Medicago truncatula: one gene and its partners. The protein of the gene in region 3 interacts with the protein of the main gene of each other region in a pairwise test. Links are inferred from orthologs where the notes say so. Each region holds a gene or a part of one and is shown on either strand. Other genes may lie near its edges.

Region 1 (7,184 bases), on a different chromosome or scaffold from region 3:
CCAACACAAGGATCCATAAAGGTTTTACTACACTAAAGGGATGCGATTTTGGGGTAGATCCGGAGATTTTAGGGTTTGAGTATGATTTAGATTTGGAATTGAGTATGTATTGGATCCGGCGAAGAAGAAGATTTTGATGGAAATGAAAATGAGATTTTGATTAAAGAGTTTGAATGTTTAATTTATGTTAATGGGCATGATGAAGATTGATGAATGTTGATGATGGTGAGGTTGAAGATGATGAAGAAGAAGAAGGAAGAAGATGAAGAAAGAAAAGCAAGATTTTTAATTTGAAATTTGTTAATTCGTGTTTTTGAATTTCGTCCCCTGGAAATTTTCATTTTTGGATTTAGTCCCTCTAAACTTGTCAATTGTGACACATAAGCCTCACTTGCCATGTCACGCATCGTCACATCGGTCGCCGTTTGATATATCAACGTTTTTGTAACTTATGATGACGACAAGACCAAAAACAAAACATTTGAAACTTACCGGGTATTTTTAGAATCAAAAAGTTACAAAAACAGAAACAAAAAACACGCCAACTTACAGGAACAATTTACATATTATAAAAATGGTTAATTAAGTTTTTAGTCCTTGTAAATATTCACAGTTTTATTTTTAGGAACAAAATGTTGATGAAATTTTTTTACAGGGACTAAAAATAATGATGAAAAGTTCTTATAGGGACTAAAAATGCTGATGGAGAATTTTATAGCGATTAAAAAGTATGATTTTATTTTGTAGGGAAAAACAATTAATTAACCCTTCTAAAAATCTGAATTATTATTATTCTAAAATTGACAGCAACTCAAATTTTCAATGCTGTACGAAAGAGAACAAAAAAAATGAAGAGTATAAACCGGATGGGAGGGGGGACAATGGGATGCGACAATAAGTACGTAACCTGATGGAGCTGCTTTTATACGGTATTTTTACGGGAAGTGATGCTAAGTCTATGCCTTTATTGTGGACGATGAGGAAGGATATATAGATATCTATGGTGCTAGTGCTACAAATAGATTAGCAAGTCATCAAAGAAAAAAAGAGGAAGAGACATTCGGACTGTCCCACATACTTTACAGCTTTATTAACTTAGCTACAGCACTAGCTTTTTCTGCAGTAAATTATCTCGAATTACTACTGATTATATGCATGCTAGCTAACATAGCAACGTCATATTGGGTTCAATTTAGTAAAAGATAAAACTTTGTTGAGTTAATTAATAATTCACAAAATTAAAGTAGAAAGTTAATCATCTTTGGTAGCCCTTGGCTTTCTGATAGTTGGAGATTTTTTCTGTTCAATCGGCTGATGTTTGCTTGCATGTTTTTCAATTTGGTGGTTTGTTTAGTTGTAGTATTTGTTTACGAAGGATATACTCATCATTGCTTGTATGTGATTTTGTTGGATGTTTTATTGGAAGAAGTGTAACTCGTAGGTTTGCTGTAACAAAGAGTTGAATTTAGATGTTACAAGATCGTATTAAACTTTTCTCTTGGTGTATTTTTTGTTCTATTTTTAGAGGGTTATAATTGATTTTGGAGGTATAGAATTGATTCTGATATGTTTGGTTGTTGTTGATTATAATTGACCATGTCTCCATAATTGATTATATTTGAGATATGATTTGTAACTTTTGAATCTATAATTGATTTTAATATACAAATTTATAATTCAACTCACTTTTACATGAACGTATCCAAACATAAATTACATTTTTAAAAAAAATTACTTTTAATTAAAATCAATTCTACAAAATTGATTATATCAAAATCAATTTTTTCCACAACGCAACCAAATATACGTTTGGTGGTGGTTGAAATCTCAAGAACCACATATTTTTTTACATTTCCATTCGTGATGGAATAATCCATTAGTCTGTATTGATTATGCCACCATATAATGTTGTGTCTCAAAAACTTGTAGTTATGATATTATGTGTGGGGTGACATCGATTTAAACAAATCACGATATCACTTAAATTAACACATCAACACATCTAATAAAATTAATTAACAAAGAAACATTTTGATTGACGTAAGACAATTTAGGGGAATAATTTTATGTTTCATAAATTTAGTGTTCAAAATAACAATTACATTTTCAAGACAAAAATGTGATTTAATCATTAATTACTATTGTTCAAAAGAAACAAACTATATATCTTATAGTTTCTTGTATACTAAAATGAGTTAATTTTTAATCTCGAGCAAGAAGAAAACAAAGAGAGTGAGTATAATGACGACTAGTGTTGTATTTTCATAAAATTAAATGTACTCGTTCTAAAGTAATTAACCTTTCTAAAACAAAAATTTGTCACGAAATAATTGATCTTTTCAATTTTCAACATAGCATTAATATTTTTTCCAATCGTATCTCTAATATTACTTGTATCATTGTCAATCAATATTTTTTTTTTTTGACAAAAATTCAATATATTTTATAGTTACACAAATGTCAACTTGTGCCTTTTTTAAGTTAAATTAATCCATCTAAATTAATATTGGAGATAATCGAATCTGAGACCTCGAGCATGAGCACACTTCAAAATCCTAACTCAACATCACTAGACTAGGGATCTAGTGATGGCAAAGCGGACCAACCAACTTAAACCCGCAAAAAGCAGGAAGAAACGGGTTGAATCAATTTAGGTGGCCGAGTTCAAAATTTCATCCCCCGCTTTATGGCGGGTTGACGGGCCGTCAAAGAAAAAACGTGATTTTTAATGCAATTTTTAACAGTTTTATTGTTATGAAAAAATATGTTGTGGTTATTTATAAAATAAAATTGGGAGCAAATCAATTTGTGCTAAAACACAAGCTTACGAGACAAAATTGGATTATAATGAGTTATTTGGTCACTTCATTTTAAATTATGTCTAACTCGTCGATAAAATAAAAAATTAAAAAATTTCAAGTTGACGAGTTGGTGGGTTGGCCCGCCCCGTCCCTATCCCATCCCATCCCATTTTTTCAACGAATTAAGCAAGACGAGCCTATTAGAAGTGGTGAGTTCAAAACTCCAGCTTAGCTCTCCAAAAAAAGCAAGCTAAATGAGCCGGCCCGATAATTAGGTTTGTTTTGCCACCTTTACTCCAAGCCAATCCAAGTTGGTTAATTAACTTATGCCCTTAAGGCGCATGTTAAAGAACTTATTATAAATATATACATTTTTTTAAGAATCGAAACATACATTTTTAAAGTTGTATATTCATCTTTTTAAAAGTCAAAATATTATATTTTTTAATATAAATTAAAGTTACTCTCGTTGAGTTTTTAACATGTGCGTTGGGTTGCAAAAGGACATCTTAATGAGTGGCTTCTAGCAAAACTTATATATATATATATATATATATATATATATATATATATATATATATATATATATATATATATATTAATTGAACAAAATCCTTATTTTTTTTTCTTTAGGTGCGTTTAACATTTAGGCCATCTCCAACAAGGGATCTCTCTCCTTTTTAAGACCAGATATTTATTAAGTAATTTCATCGAGTAAAAGTTATTGAATTAATAGGAACAAAGTCTCAATGTAGATGTTAAATTTTTAGTGAGATGATTTTTTTATTTTTAATATTTTATTTTTGAAATGCAATGATATAGAGTCATTGGTAGATAATTAATGTGTTCCGTGTTTAGCTGGAGGGATTGACTGCTTATTAGATATTATTATTAAAAAATTATAAATGAGTGATGCAGACATATAAAATTATTCTAAGTATCTAAAAATGATTGTTTCCATTTTGATTTTATTATACAATGAGAAATGGTAACTAGTGTTTGGGGCCGTGATTAAGAAAACCAATATGGTATATAGTACAATAAAAATTGTATAACCTTTCATTTGGTCTTTGTAATTAGGTTTTGTTAAAGAGTGCTGTCGGGGCACTCATGAAGGATTTTAAAAGAAAAAAATTATTTTACATAAAAGTTAAATATTTTGATTTCTAATACATTGATTATACATATTTTTATAAAAAATTATCATTTAAAGGTATTAAAGAGTACCTCGGAGGCATTTGTTAATATTTTGCTTGTGATTATAAAAGATTAAATTGTACTTGTATAATAAATACTAATAAAATAAGAATTGATCTAAGAAAAAAGAATAGAGTGAGTGAGGTGAGGGAGATAGAGAGAAGGATTGATTCCGTGCCCTATGAAATGAACCTATCTTCCCCAATATATTCATCATCATCAGCATAGTAGTAGTAGGTAACTTGTTTTCTCCTCCTCGATTTGATCGTTCCTAGCTCACTATTTATTACTACCTCTCTCCAAAACAAAAGAAAAGAAAAGAAAAAAAAACTTGCTTGTTCTCTTGTCTCTCACTCCACTGCTTTTGTATGGCAGGGGTATCAGTGGCAGTGCAGAAAAAGGAAGGTAGAGTTTTCATTGGGAAGGTAAAACCTTTTTTTGGCACCAATGCTTCACACTAACCCTTCTTCTGTAACTCAACCTTCATCTCTCTCTCTACATATCCCGCGTGCACTCTACTGCTTTCTCACTCCTTCATAAAAAACCTTGTATTATCCACTAGCTAGAGAGACAAAGAGAGATTCATTTCTTCATTAAATGCTGAAAATGTGTGGAAAGAGAGATTAACACTCATTTTCCAAAGGAAATCTGTGCAGGCTTTTGCCAGTAGTAGAATCCAAAAAACCTCTTCACTACTTCTTCATGTAACTGACTGTAACTATACAACATAGCCACCACAAAACACTATCACTATTTATGTTTTTCTGTAAAAAAGCCTGTTACTTTTTTACCATAAAACCCGGGCGGGTGACCCTTGTGTGAAACAAAAACATCTTCAATATTAATATCATTCAAGTGAGAGAAAGAAAAATCTGACCTAGAAGGCAAAAAGGGTAATAAAAAGGAAGTGTTATTGTGGCTAAGTGAGTGAGTGAGTGAGTATTAATTCAATGGAGGGTAGTTCTAATGGAAGTTGTTCTTATGTGATGGGTGCTTTTGGAGAAAACAGTGGTGGGCTATGTCCTCCAATGATGATGATGCCTTTAGTCACTTCATCTCATCATAATGCTCATCATCCAATAAATTCCAATAACAACAATACTAATGCAAACAACACAACCGGTCTTTTCCTTCCTATCCCTAATTCCACTAACAATAATAACAATCACTACACCAACTGTAATAACAACACCTCTTCTATCATGCTTCAAAATAACCATCAAAACACTCCTGGTTTAGGTTACTATTTCATGGACAACATCAACAACCATGGAAGCTCTTCTTCCTCTTCTTCTTCTGTCAAATCCAAGATCATGGCTCATCCTCACTATCACCGTCTCTTGGAAGCCTACATCAACTGTCAAAAGGTCAGAAAAAAAAAGAAGATAATTATTTTGAAAACGATGTGTGTGTAATTAATTTCTTTGTACTTTTTTTGTTTGACAAGTTTGGATCTGATGAGCTGTGTTGTATAATTGTACTTTGAAACTGTGGCCTTTTGTTTTCATTTCCATTTATTACTAATATTGACAAACTATCATGTATATTATTGTAAGTCAAAACCCTTTTAAGCATATGTGATAAAGACACTTCATCTCATGACTATTTTTTTCATAAATTTTTTACTTCATGAAAATTATTGTGTTTTTAGGTTGGAGCACCAAGTGAAGTGGTGGCAAGGTTAGAAGAAGCATGTGCAACTGCAGTGAGAATGGGTGGAGATGCAGTTGGATCAGGTTGTTTAGGTGAAGATCCAGCTCTAGATCAGTTCATGGAAGCTTACTGTGAGATGCTTATCAAGTATGAGCAAGAACTTTCCAAACCCTTAAAGGAAGCTATGCTTTTTCTTCAAAGGATTGAAGTCCAGTTCAAAAATCTTACAGTTTCTTCATCTTCAGATAATATTGGTGATAATAACCTCTCTCTCTCTCTCTCTCCAGAAAATACTATTCAGATTTTAAATCATAATCTTGATTGCTTGATATTTGTTGTTGTTTACATATGCATCCATGCATGCCTGTGTTTGGAAGAGTTTGTTAATTTTGTTAGTATGTAAAAGTGTTTGATTATTATTAATTAATTAATTAAATTGAAGTTTATGACAAGATCTACTTTTTTTTTTCTAGCTTTTCTTATAAAAAAAATTCTTAATTAGTCTTTTTCAATAGTATTTTATATTGCTAGCTTGTACTCTTTTTAATCTTCTTTGCCTAAATAAGTGAGTTCCTAATACTTGCTACCAAAGGTGCCCTTAACTCATGCGTTTTTTGTCTAAAAATAAAGGTAGATGGTGATGTATAGTAGTACATATATATTTCATTGGTGTTGGTGCATTGAAGGAACTTAACTATATAGGTATCTTGTTAAATTCGTCTTTTCTTGTGTGTGTGCTTGATAGTATTGTTTTTATGGGAACTATAAGACTTGCATCATCACACATATAGCTTTTTCTTAAAATTTCCCTTTTGATGAGGTCACAGAAACTCTCAGATTTCACTGGCTTTTGTAGTGTTCTTAATATATTAACATTATTAAAGAATCTACTTTGTAATGAATCCAAAAATTGGAGGACTTCGGAACAGGAAGATTGGTGGGTGAATTTAGGTTTTGTAAATAATAACCAATGAATTAGGGTTTCTTCTGCACTTGTTCCCAGAAGTGGTAATTGCGAGGTATATACTCACAAGTTTCTTTCCTAATTGGAGTGCAAAATGCAGATAGTAGAGTAGCTCCAAAGAGCTGAAGTACTTTCCTGGGGACAAGTGCAAAGTGGATTTTAGATTTATGATATGGATCAATTAACATGGAAAAAAATCTTGCAAAGTTGATTGGATTTGATTAATGACCTAAAAAAGAGATTAAGCTATGATGTGTTAGTAGGTCCTTAAGAATAATGATGAATTTGATTGATTTGTTCTCTTGCTTCTTTTTCTCATTTGTCTCATCAAGGTTCCGTGTAAACACTACTCCCTATAGATGGAATATTTTATTAATTTGTATTATTTCATATAGCTAGTGTGATTATATGTGTTGTCATCATTATGTATATTTTTGTGTCTGCAGGTATAGATGCATATTATAATGCTTGTTAAAATTATGTTTGTTTTTTGATATTATATTTGATAAAAAACTTGGTTACTTGTCTTTAACTAAAAATGGATATACATTGTCCTACATGCATTTTTC
Region 2 (5,545 bases), on a different chromosome or scaffold from region 3:
GTCCGGAATGGTACCGGCAACTCTAGGAGGAAGGCTTCTGCACAGAGCTAGCTTCAAGTATGTTGTGATAAAAGTCTAGAATAAACTTAAGTTCTATTTATATGCAAAGAGAAAAGAACCATATCTACATGCTATTTCTCCCCTTTCTTTATGATTAAGGTTGCTAAATAAAAACATGTGGATTGCTGCAGTTTTACGGACAATTCGGGTCTGTGTGGTATACCTGGATTACCTACATGCGGACCTCATCTTTCTGCCGGTGCTAAAGTTGGCATTGGCTTAGGTGCTTTTTTTACTTTTCTACTTCTGATTACCTGTTCAGTTTGCTGGTGTAAAAGGCGGAAGAATATCATCCGGGCTCAGCAAATTGCAGGTAAGGATGTTAATATCTTAATATGCTGTTACTGCATTGAGCTTTTTCTAGATGTATATGATCTTGTAGTTGTACATGGATAGTGTCTTAATTTGAAATCACAATAATATATCTCTTTTTTCTTTTATAGCGAGGGCAGCACCATATGCACAAAAGAGGACCCATTTTTCACGCGATATACAGATGACGAGGCATAGTAATAATTATGGCAATTCTCATACTGCTGCGGAGAATGGACCTATCTTGCTTGGAGGATAGCATTCCATTTATTCTGGTATTTTTGGAAAACTATCCTAGCATTCTTCACTTTCCCATCCTCAATTGATTTGATTTTTTTTTCATTCAATAATCGTATTTTGATGTATGTATGGCAGGGGTATTCTGATGGCTGTACTGCACTACCTTACAGGCTGAGAATCCTACTAATTTGTAAATCACAATTTTGTACATTACATGTTTACTTTTTTTTATTACTCATTTTACGTTTGAACTTCAATATTTTTTTAGTTTGTTGATAGAATATTTGTAACAGTTCAAAAATTAAAATGTAAACAGAAATCATAATATTCTGTGGAGGATAAATGAGGGCTACTTTACATAACAGCTGCCCTGGTACATTCATTTATATTTGTTTAATTTAAATGTGTGGATCACTGTTAGAGCAGCTGAAATTTGGTATGTACCCATTAAGGGTGTTTACCTATCATTACTCTTTTGTTTTTAAAGAACTTATTAGTATACTTTTTTTATAAGACAAGACCAAAATGACATCAAAAAAATAGTGTCCAACTAAGTTGGAACACTACTCTTTTTTTTTGTGGTAGCCGAGGTCCCAACCCCGGACCTTACATATTTTATGCATTGCTCATATATATTATTAAAAAAAGAAAAATTACATAAAACCTGATTCAGTTAACAACTCTAACAAAATAAAATAAAATATGATAAAATAAAAATTTCAGAAAGTGGATTCAACCTTAATCAAATCTAACAATTAAGCGCGGGTCTAAATATAAAATACGAAAGATTAACCTTAAATAAATATCTCAACAGGCAATAAATAATTTTGGTGATAATAACATAATAAATTTATTACTTTAAACATTTTTTTTTAATATCCGCGGTTTTGCATTCTTATAAAAAAGAGATGGAGAGTGTAGGAGTCTTAATAGCCCGGACATTTTCCTTAAAAACTACTCCCTCCATTTCAAAATATAAGCAAAATTCATATTTTAGGTTCATTTATTTAATGATGTATGTGGTCCATAATTTATTTAATAATGTATGTGGTCCATATTATGAACCACATACATCATTAAATAAATAAATCTAAAAAATAAATTTTTTTTATATTTTAAAACAGGAAAATAAAAGTGACGTATAGAAACAAAAACCGAGTAATTTTTAATAAAAAAAGATGAATGAATTCACGTGACGATTATTATTACTACACACATCCGTATCTGTAGGCATACACAGTGTGGCCATCTGCTAGCTGCAGTCACTCACTCTGAACCTGATTCATCACCCACCCATCCACCCTCCCAGTCCCTGACTTTCACCACTCACTGATCTCACTTTTCAATTTTCGTCCTTTTTCTTTTCTTTACTCCACAAAAAATAATACTCCTCCGTAGCAGACTTATTAAAGCTAGTACTACAACAGAGCCCAAGCAACAACAACGTAGTCAAACACGCCAACAAGACCATAAAAAAGAAAAAAATAAGCCCATTTTCTCAAGGTGGCCCAATTTCACCTGTTCCCTGCTACTCAGACACCATTCCACGTGGGAGTCTCTCTCCCTGCACTAACCTAACCCCACATATTACCCTATCCAATCATATTTATCCACCTCATCTCACCTTTCTCTTTCATTACCACAACTCAAATTCCCATAATACCTCTTTATTTATTACAAACTCCCCCTCCAATCCAATAAACCACTATTCATCTCCAATGACACATCTCAATCCCCAAAAAAACACAAACATTAAATAGAATATTTTTTGAAATAAAATTCTAAAAAAAATAAAAAAATAACTTATGCCCTCAAGGCAATGTAAAGTTGAACATAATTTGTACCAAAAAAAAAAAAATTGAACATAATTGATATTTTAATGTTTATTTTGTGACAACTTTTAAACAATTTTATCTCTTATACTACCTTCGTCCTTTAATGTAAACTCCCTTTGCTTTTTTTATATTTCTTAAGAAAAGTTATTAGTGTAATTAATGTTTCTGTTTTCTGTGTTAATATTACTAAATTGTTCTTTGTTTGTATGTGTATTAAATTTCAAGAAAACTAACACTTAATGATTTGAGGTATAATTTTTTGTGTTCTCCTTAAAATAAGTTTCATGGAAAGATGTAAAAATAATTCTCGTTGGTTAAAAATTATGGAGAAAATAAAAAGGAGAATAAATTGAATGCAATTTGCATTTAATTTTACATTGAAAAAGATGTTTTGTTTGAAAAAACATAATAATAGCATAAAAATTGATCTTTTTTGCTTATATTTTGAGACAAAGAAAATAAGATTTTTTTGCTTATATTTTAGAACGGATGGAGTATTAATTAAAGGTATGTTTAGAAAAAAAAATAATAAATGCATCTAGTAATTTAGAAAGGGGATTACATTTAAGGACTAAAATAAAATCAAATGGATGTTTAGATATAGAGACGGAGGAGTATTTACATTATTGTTTAACTTTCTCTCTTCCTTTTTTTTCTTTATATAGTTTTTGACTAATCAAAAAAGAAAAAAAAAGTTTTGACAAATGGTTTTACACATATCATTACTAAAAGATGAAACAAAATCTTAAAAACTATGTATTTAACTCAAATTTAAATTTATTTTTGAAATACAAAATAATTCTTTTAATTGTTTTCGTAACTCTCTAACTTGTGCCTAACAACATAAGTTAACATGACAAAGCAAATCTTAGTGAGGTTTTTTGTAGTTTTTTTATTTGAAAGATGGTTTTTTGTAATTAATTAATCTAATATTTAGAATATTATTTTAAGATGAATAAATAGATTCTTTAAAATTCAAACACCGCATGTTACATCCTTCAAAAATAAAAAACACCGCATGTTACAATGAACTATTTCATCCAAATAAACTATGCTCCCGAAGACAAAAATATTATTAATAATTCACCAACGAAATTTAACATTAGCAATGAAAGTGGAATATGATTACATTATGGTTTTTTCTAGATTACCTTTGAAGAATGGTGGGTAATTTACCCACCAACCAATGAAAATGAACAATTTGTTGGTGGGGTTAAGATAGTTCATGGATACCACTTAAAAATGTGCTTATGTGGCTAATGTGTATTGGTTGGGGTAAATTACCCACCATTCTTCCATGGGTACCCTAGTTGTCACCTTATATTATTAGGTAAATTAAATAAAATTACGGATGAGTATAAAAGATAAAAAAAAATGACAGGAGTAGTTTGAAAAAAGTGTCAGGCGCCGCTGAGCAAACACCGTACAACAACAGTAGGGCATACGTCACGCTCCTACAGCCCCCACTTCCTTCCACCCCATACGTCTTTTCAGCCGGCGGCTATCCCAATAGGGTCCCACCACTTTCTTTCATCCTCACATCATAGCCGTCCATCAGTATCAACGGCTCCCCTTTATTTTATCCAAATTTGCTTCCCACCTCGTGTGGTTTTTTGTGTCTATATATACAAACATAATCACAAACCAAAAATCAAAACCAAAGGGTGGTAGTAGTAGTATTGTAGTGGTGCCGGCCAGCCGACAATTACGGGAGCCAATGTGGGTCCCTTCACTTTTATAAACTCAAATCACTTCTCACTTCACTTCGCAAACCCTTTCTTTTCTCTCTTCTTGTGTTGTTTTTCTTTGTTTTCATGGCTTCTTCTTCAACTTCTTCAGCGAATCGTGAAGGACACTACAGAGGTGTTAGGAAGCGACCATGGGGACGCTACGCCGCTGAGATTCGCGATCCGTGGAAGAAAACGCGTGTTTGGCTGGGTACATTTGACACTCCTGAAGAAGCTGCTCTTGCTTACGACGGCGCCGCTCGTTCTCTTCGTGGAGCTAAAGCAAAAACCAACTTCCCACCGGCGCCGGTCGCCGGAGGACTTTGTTTGGATCTCAACGCTCCTTCTTCTGATCTCCGATGGCCATCTGTCCCTTCACGTGGCCGTGTGCTTACTGAGTTTCTTCAAACTGGTGTTCTCAAGGATTTCAACCCTCCTCCACCTCCACCCATCGGCGGGGTGGTTGGACAGAGGCATAATGAAGTTACTCTTGCTGTCGCCGGCAGAACTATGGTGGCTGAGAACTCTCCGACGGCGGCTTACTTGGGACTTGTTCGACGTGGGATTCCGATTGACTTGAATGAACCTCCACCGTTGTGGCTTTGAAAAACCCTAGACAAATAAGTAGCGTAAAATGAGATGATTTATTGTAGTTTTTTAACGGCGTCGTTTTAGGATCTTATCTAATTAATCTTGTCTTTTTCTCCCTTATTAGCGGCATAGTTATCATGAGGGAGTATCTACCTATCTTATCTTTGTAATGTATCTATGGCAATCTAACATTTAAAAAAAAAAAAATGAAGTACTTTATGATATTTTATTTATTTATTTCCATATTAATTGATGTCTATGACTAGTATGAGTGTTATTGAGCTAGATTCTCACGTTGAAATAAATGCTATGGGTTCACATCAACTATTCTTTTTCATATGACACTTTGCTTGGCAAATTGTAGTTTTAATAATGGGTATGATGGACACATTATGTAATCTTTGTCCAAAATATTTGAACTACTAGTAATAATAGAATCTAAAATGTTTTACGGTTTGGAGCATTTGGAATGTTGGGCGGCAACCGACGAGGGAGTGACACCAGTAAATTTGATGCTGTTGGTTTTGGACCACGTTAGAAAACAACGGCGTTGTGTAAAGGGAGTTTGGTTTCACGCGCGAGTGGGTCTGGTTTATGCTGAGAGCGGGAACTGCGATGCGAGCGTGTGGGTATCAGCATGATGGCATTCCTTTTCTAGTCAGAGATCTGGTTCTTACCATTTTGGCAGCGTATATTTTCCTCCACTTTTAGACCCACTCACTTTCCCAAGCGCGTCTCAGTTATTCTTCATTTTTTTTCCTCATCCTCATCTTATATTGT
Region 3 (7,840 bases):
ACTATTGTACGAGTAAATAAAGTTATTTTTATACACATAAAGAAATATGAAAGTGGACCACCCTATCATAGCCTGGTTGTGTGGCACGTTGTTCTAACATGAAACCTGTTCAAAAATGTGACTCAAATGAAATCATGTCTCAGAGTTCAACTGTGTTCTAACTCGCGCCAGATAAATCCCCCGCCATTTGTGGAGTCTCCAATTGACTTGACCCCTCTATATATCCCATGGCCGCACCTTATTGTTATTACTTTGCTTCTTGAAACTTGTACATGTCTAACTAAATTAATAGCAACAGAAGAAAAAAAAATAGACATTTATCCAATATCACATTTCAAAATGGTCCAAAACTAGAGATTTGTAAAAAATCAATTTTATAATAGAAAAACACATAATAATTTTCCATTAAAATTTACTGAAAATAGGAAAGTTCATTTTTTTACTATGTCCAATATAACTATAATATGTCATAATAATTTAATATACATCATTGAGTTTTTCATTTGATTCTGTTTTGATTTGATTTGATCAGTCTTTGACCTTTAGTTTTGATTATTTCATAGTACATATATAACTAGAGAGAGGAGCTCATGCTCATATACAATAATGCTCCCTTCTTAGGTACTTTTTATATATGAAGATGTGGTGCCATAATATATTATCATTATAAAGGATTTGTGTTTATTGTAAATAAAAATAAATGATTTTTGCTAGTACATAAACAAGTTGTAATAAAAACTATTATGCTGTCATAAATGTTGGGAGTCTGCCTAAACGTACTAGTACATGGATATATAAAGTGATGAAGGTGTATAGTGATTTGTTGCATCATGCATGAGAAGAGTGCGTAGTGCACAAAGGCCAAAAAGAATCAGTGGGGTGAGAGAGGTAGTGACATCATTGTTGTATTTATAGGCCTGTATGTAAGGGTGAGAAGAGTAGAGCAAAGGGAAATTTGGCAAGCGGCGGAGAAAGCTGTTCCTCCTACTTACAACACCATTACTACCCTTTTTCACACACTTCATTTCAACCTATACTAACTTTCATTTTCTGCACCTATCCTCTCAACTTATTCTTTCAAATATAATAAACCATCAATTTGGTTTCAAAACTATCACATTCTCTCCAGTTTGATGAATAAACTATAGAAATATACTAAATAATCCTTATACTACTACTAATCTATCAAGTTAATCCTTCAAATCTCTTAAAAATTGGTTTATGGACTAATTTTATAGATAAATCTCTTAACCACCCATTATATTATTGGATGGGTTTGACCAAATTCGCTAATTTTTGGGTTGAGTATGATTGGGTAATGGATTACCCAACTTATTTTTTTATTTTTTAATATTAAATGACTAAACAACAGTACTCATAATTTATCTTAAATATTACTCAACTTTTTAATTCTCTTAAACATAATTGGTTAACTTATTTTTATTATAATTTTATGCATCATAGAATAATAAATTATAATATCAAATAATAAACTCCAACATAAAATACTTGCAACAAACTAAAGCTGCATAACATTAAATTGCATTAGTATTAAATTAACCAAAAATTGCAACATCTTGATCTGTAACATTAGCATGTTTTGATTTTCATTATATAGGATACAATGTGTATGTTTAGAAATATAACAATGATATTTGTACATCCATTCCATGACAACTTTAGTGACAACTTGTTTTTCTCTCTTCTTATTGGTCAAAAACAATGGAGAGAGAAAATGGAAGAGAGAAGATAAGACCATCATGTGAGTATGAGAGAGAAAGTTGTACAAAAGTTGTCACAAATTGGTTGTAAAAATATCATTTCTCTTAGAAATATAACTTGGTTTATGATCATAACCTTTAGTATTTTTCTTCTACCCTATGAAAATAAAGATAAAAAATATTGACCTTATTGAGTAAGTGGATTTATTGAGTCTGAGTCTAATTTTACCCAAAATCGATTTATTTTTATGGGGTTTTCATTTTTAGAAACCATACCCACCCAATTACCGCCCCAACCCATTTTTTTTTAGGTTTTATGGGTAGGTTTGACCGGATTTTCTAGTTAATCCAACCCATGTACACCCTAGGTAGAATGTAGCACTCAAATATGGGAATTGATCATTTGCCGCGACTGAAGAGTTCAGTTAAATATTAGTTTTTAAATAAAAATAAATACTTGAAAATCTAAATGTGACAAATTAGAAATTACAGTAGTGCTATATGGTACGAGACTTTTCTTCGCACAAAATGCAGGACAGCTTGTTTGCCTTATAAAATCACCATATCTGGCTCATTTTAATTATTTTAAACGGATTAAATATGCTCACAATAGAATCTTATATAACTATCATTGCATATGATGTTTACCATATAGCACTATTGATCACCGCCAACCTCACATCGCTTCATATTTGATATCATCATTGCATACGAAGGTATATACATGAGAACGTGAGAGAGAGAAATGAAGCATAAAAAAACTGAGAAATGTTGGCAGATGGTAGTTACTCCTATATTCTTTATAGAAATTTAATCTAGCTTGTTGGGTTTTGAAAATAAAATGAATAGTTACTATTCGTATAAATTCGTGCAAGACTGTGTCTCGTAACATCAAGCATTTTCCTAAAAATTATGAGATATAATAAATTTAATGGTGTAGATTCCCACACTGCAGAAAACTTGAGAGAAACACACCGGAGAAAATCCCCTTCCCTTAAATACTCATCTAGTTTTCGGAACGCCGGGATAAAGCTAATTTAGATAATGATTCCATCTCAACTGCGTTATAGTAAGTTCAGTGTTAGTCCATATATAAATCACAAGCATTGAAACATATATAGTTGGAAACACATAAAACTTTTTCTGAAGGTATACCATTAAACTTTGTGTTAACTGTAACCAAAAGATTAAACTCTCAAATTAGAAGTGCTATTAAATTTGTCATGACACGCTTTTGTTGTTTTGTTTTTGGTCTTAAATTTGGTTTTGCACTAATTGTTTATAAGTATCGCAAAAGTCATCCGCGTGGAGAGGCATATTTGACGATAAATGAAAATGAAGAAAGAAAAAGATGCGGTCCCTCCCATGCAAAATGGTTTGGGGAGGATATGTGGGTGGAGTACTTTATTACACCAATTAATAAGAATTAGATGTGCAAAGATAGGACCACCTCATCTCTATTTCTCATCTCATCTTCACTCCTTATTTTAGGAACGTTTTACACACACTAAACAACTATGTATATCGGTAAAAAAAATCAATTTGTTTTGTATGTCTTATTGGTTCTCTACTTCATTCACTAAGGTAATTTTACTCAGTTATTTTAACTATAATTATCGTTTTCTCTCAACTATATATCTAATCTAATAGTACTAAAATATAAGATATGAGAACATAAATTTTTATCAACTTTTGTCCATCACTATACCTTATTATTTAGTTTTTTTTACATGTACGTATATATATTAACAAACGATATGACGGTTAGTTAATACTCACTAATTGATGTATGTATAATTAATAAGAATACAAAATAATAATGGAGGAATATTTGAGAAGAGAAAATATATATAGTCCTATGTGGATGATAGTGTAATAATATTAGAGCAACTTCATTCAATATATCTCTCGTGAGTGGAAACAGATTGGAAGAGAATAACTGGTAGCTTATGGCTCAGAAAGACAACAGAGAAAACAGAAGGAGGAGGACCCACCTAACTCATCCCAAACAGAGCCTTTTTCTCATCTGAAAAAGCCTGTAAAAGACTTTACTTAGGAATGACTTCAATCTAGGGATCCGTTCCCTACAAAGATCTCCTTATTCCTATTCTTATTTCTTTAATTTAACTTCCATGCAGATTAATTAAATACTCCAAGGTAACCGTGACAATTTTAGACTCCAATTTAAATTTAAATGTGGCACCATTATTGTTGCTCAAAATAATATTTGTGATGTTAAAAGGAGAATTTATTCCATAAAAAGATGAAGAGTTTGTGAACCATAATCTATTCGATAATATTTTAAGCAATATATAATTTTTTTTTTATTTATAAATTATATTTACGTTTGGTATCATGATGAGTATATTAGAATCACAACGATCCGTTGTGATTTATCAAAATTATATTTACTAGTTTATGTAAAATTAGAGTAGATCTTAAATCTAATGCTTTAAATTAATATATTCTTTATATGAGTTCATTTGTGTATTTAAAAGTTTCAACTAATATAGACCAAAAATGCAAAAATTGAACTGCATTAAATCATCATTTTTTTCTATGAGCTGCAATAAATCTTCATGGTCTAGAAATAAACTGTAAAGAACCATAATTAATTCCTCATACATGTGATACAACAATTCAAGTGGCGGCTCATAGTTTATGTATGAGGCAGAGGACATCATTACTTGTTGCTGGTCCTGCTTCATCATATATATATATGTAATTTAATTTGTAGAGAAGGTTAGTCTTTTTTATTTTCTTGACTGAATAAAAGATATATAAATATATTATGCAACATAATTTACTTCAATTTTCAAAAAATAATACAGTTATATAAGAAAAACAATGAGTAAAATCCCCTAAATAAATAAAATAAAACAATGAGTTAAATATTGTTTACAATAGATTGAAATAATATAAGAAGAATTATCTGTTTTGAACATTTATTGATTATAAGATTTTTCTAATACTAGGTAAGAAATAATTGAGGAAATTTCCTTGATATTAATTAATATTTTTGGTGGGAATATGAAGACTAATTTGGTTGTATTTATAAATCTTGGTCCATTGACTCATCAGTTGTTAAGAAAGAGAGAGAGAGAGAGAGAAATATAAAGAAAAAAAAAAGAGTATATGATAGCATGGAGGTCATCATCAATACCCTCTCTAGCTAGCTATCTCATCTTCTATTTCTGAGCAACTATATCTCATCTTTCTTCCACACTCATGCTCCCCTCATAATATAAATTAATTCACTTAATTTATATTTGAAACTATAGCTAGATATATTGAAGTTTGAAAATTTTTATTCATGGCTAGACAACTTTGTCATGAAGATGACAAAACATCAAGTGGTGGATTTTGTTACAACCCAACGATTCAAACACAAATCCAAGGTTTTGTGTCCGATCCAGAGATGTTCAATCTCACAACAGGGATGGAGATGATAGGTTTTTCCAAACAACATCTTCAACAACATAGTACTGACACAACAAACTCTGTCATGTGGAAAACAAATTTCTCAGGAAAACTAAGTCAACAACATGTTGGTCCTTCCTCTTCTTCAAAAACCATGAATGATAATTTCTATCATCATCAAGATTTCACTGTTTCTGATACAACAAGTAGTGATCAGAATCTAAACAACATGGTTCATCATGATTCATCTTCACATCATCAGTGGCAACAAGTTGATGATTCATCTTTAAGATGTGTTTTCCCTTGTGAAGGTAATGAAAGACCAAGTCAAGGACTTTCACTCTCTCTTAGTTCAACAAACCCTTCCTCTATTGGTTTACAATCTTTTGAACTAAGACATACTACTAATCATCATTTGCAAGATCAAGGGTATCAAGGTCATTTTCTTCTCAAAAACTCTAAGTTCTTACTTCCAGCACAAGAACTTCTCAATGAGTTTTGTAGTTTAGAAAGTACTAAGCAAAATGATTTAGTTTTACAAAAGCAAAAATCTCAAAAGTTCAACAACAAGCAAAGTTGGGAAGATGATAACAACAATGGTGGTAGCAGTTCTTCAATCAAACAATCTTTAACCTCTGTAGAGTTTGTTGAATTGCAGAAGAGAAAAACTAAGCTCCTTTCCATGCTAGAAGAGGTATATTATTACATATTATAGTACTACTATTTATATGTTTCAAATTTAAATTATTTTATTATTTCATTTCATTAATCAAAGACTATTAAGTTCAAGTCATAATCAAGGCTCTTAACTTTTGGTTGAGATTGGTGTCTTAATTTGGATTTTGATTCTTGAACTAATTAAGCAGCTAGTGAAGTCTTATCATAAATGCCTTCACCCCGTGACAATTGAAACTTTTTAATGTTACCTTTTTGCTTTTCTTACCAATAAAAATTGTTAGGTTTCATTTTTATTTCTATGGTGGAAGTAACTTTCAAACTCATGAAAATTATTTATTTAAATATTGTTTTTTTACTTTTGTGTATAAGGTTGATAGAAGGTACAAACACTATTGTAATCAAATGAGGAGTGTGGTTTCATCATTTGAAGCTGTAGCTGGAAATGGAGCTGCGAAAGTATATTCAGCTTTGGCTTTAAAAGCTATGTCAAGACATTTTAGGTGTTTGAAAGATGGAATTTTAGAACAAATTCAAACAACAAGAAAAGCAATGGGAGAAAAAGACCCTGTTGCACCTGGAACAACAAAGGGTGAAACACCTAGGCTTAAAATACTTGACAGAGTTTTGAGACAACAAAGAGCATTTCAACAAATCAACATGATGGAAACACATCCTTGGAGACCTCAACGTGGTCTTCCTGAACGTTCTGTTTCAATTCTCAGGGCTTGGCTTTTTGAACACTTTCTTCATCCGTAATTCTTTTTTTTTCTTCATTTCATTCATATTTTATTTATTTCTTTCTATGTTCAAGTAAGTAGTTCTAATAGAAGTAAGGTACAAAATACATTTTTCTAAAGAATCAATGTTGTCTCCATTTCAAAAAATAAAAACAACTATTGGCAGTTGTGTTATGGTATCGTAAGTTTTCTCATATCAAGAATCTTTTACATTAATGTGCTTCAACAAATATAAAAAATTATATCCTACGCATTTTTTTTTGTTAGTTTCTGTGCATCACCATTCAGATTCCATCTTTTCATATGTATGTTGTTGTGTATAGTATTGTCATATTATTTTCAATCATTTCTACATCATCTTCTCTTACTTTTATTTTTGCGTCTCTTTCTCAACTACTTCTTTTTATTTTTATGTGGACTTAAATAATTCTTCCTTTGTAGGGCCATTTCTTCTTATCTCTAATATAGTTAGTTTTATTTTCTAATTACTATTTAATTCATACGTGCCACACAAGGTCATATATTAATTTTTTTTTTTTTTTTTTGTATAATTTTTTATAGGTACCCAAGCGACGTTGATAAGCATATTTTGGCCCGCCAAACCGGTCTCTCAAGAAGCCAGGCATGTTGATTTTCTATTATATTAATAATAAAAATATTAATATATTTCCCTTCATTGGACAAACTCTTTCAATTTCATATTTAATTAAATAGTCATATATATTAGATGGTCTTCTCAGATCCGTCACCCAAAAATTTGATATTAATATTTGTAAAGAGTAAGTCTTAATATAGACATATAATATGTTATTATTGTAAATTTATTAATTGAAAGTTTTTAAGGTGACACATGTTATTTAATTATTAATTAATTGAAAAGCAGGTATCAAATTGGTTTATTAATGCAAGAGTGAGACTATGGAAGCCAATGGTGGAAGAAATGTATTTGGAAGAAGAGAAAGAGCAACAAAGAAACACGACAACCTCGGACGGAGGAAACAATATTAATCATGAAGAGGATAATCTTAATGTACTTCAAAACCAATCTCAAACTCAACCTCACGAGGATCAAAAGCCACGACTCCTTCGAATCGATTCTGAATGTGTCTCGTCTATCATCAACAATGATCATAAAAATGATGCTAATAATAAGAATTTGAATCATCATCAATTAGCCGCGGATGCGTTTGGCTCGGTTGATATTGATTTTTCATCTTATAATACGCATCATTCTTCTTCTGACATGGTTGCTGCTTACACAAGTGGTGAGAGTTTCCACCAAGG

Evidence for each region. The genes of interacting proteins can lie anywhere in the genome.
Region 1: the proteins of homeobox protein BEL1 homolog (region 3) and homeobox protein SBH1 interact in binary tests that used the Arabidopsis thaliana proteins (3 or more experiments, as listed by UniProt). The link is inferred for Medicago truncatula from reciprocal best matches to the Arabidopsis thaliana genes BEL1 and STM.
Region 2: the proteins of homeobox protein BEL1 homolog (region 3) and ethylene-responsive transcription factor 12 interact in binary tests that used the Arabidopsis thaliana proteins (3 or more experiments, as listed by UniProt). The link is inferred for Medicago truncatula from reciprocal best matches to the Arabidopsis thaliana genes BEL1 and ERF12.

What each region holds. Positions count from the first base shown.
Region 1 is NC_053043.1:8,828,560-8,835,743, reverse strand, and holds the start of homeobox protein SBH1, read left to right. Parts: upstream 1-4,137; 5' UTR 4,138-4,948; coding exon 4,949-5,365; intron 5,366-5,649; coding exon 5,650-5,905; intron 5,906-7,184. UniProt on the Arabidopsis thaliana protein: Required for shoot apical meristem (SAM) formation during embryogenesis. Negatively regulates ASYMMETRIC LEAVES1 (AS1) and ASYMMETRIC LEAVES2 (AS2 or LBD6). Probably binds to the DNA sequence 5'-TGAC-3'. Binds to RNA.
Region 2 is NC_053043.1:4,049,841-4,055,385, forward strand, and holds ethylene-responsive transcription factor 12, read left to right. Parts: upstream 1-4,088; 5' UTR 4,089-4,261; coding exon 4,262-4,780; 3' UTR 4,781-4,998; downstream 4,999-5,545. Other genes in the region: receptor-like protein 4, read left to right, coding at 1-57, 192-373, 504-631.
Region 3 is NC_053049.1:45,421,940-45,429,779, forward strand, and holds the start of homeobox protein BEL1 homolog, read left to right. Parts: upstream 1-4,795; 5' UTR 4,796-5,034; coding exon 5,035-5,835; intron 5,836-6,188; coding exon 6,189-6,571; intron 6,572-7,117; coding exon 7,118-7,178; intron 7,179-7,439; coding exon 7,440-7,840. UniProt on the Arabidopsis thaliana protein: Plays a major role in ovule patterning and in determination of integument identity via its interaction with MADS-box factors. Formation of complex with AG-SEP dimers negatively regulates the carpel identity process and favors the maintenance of ovule identity.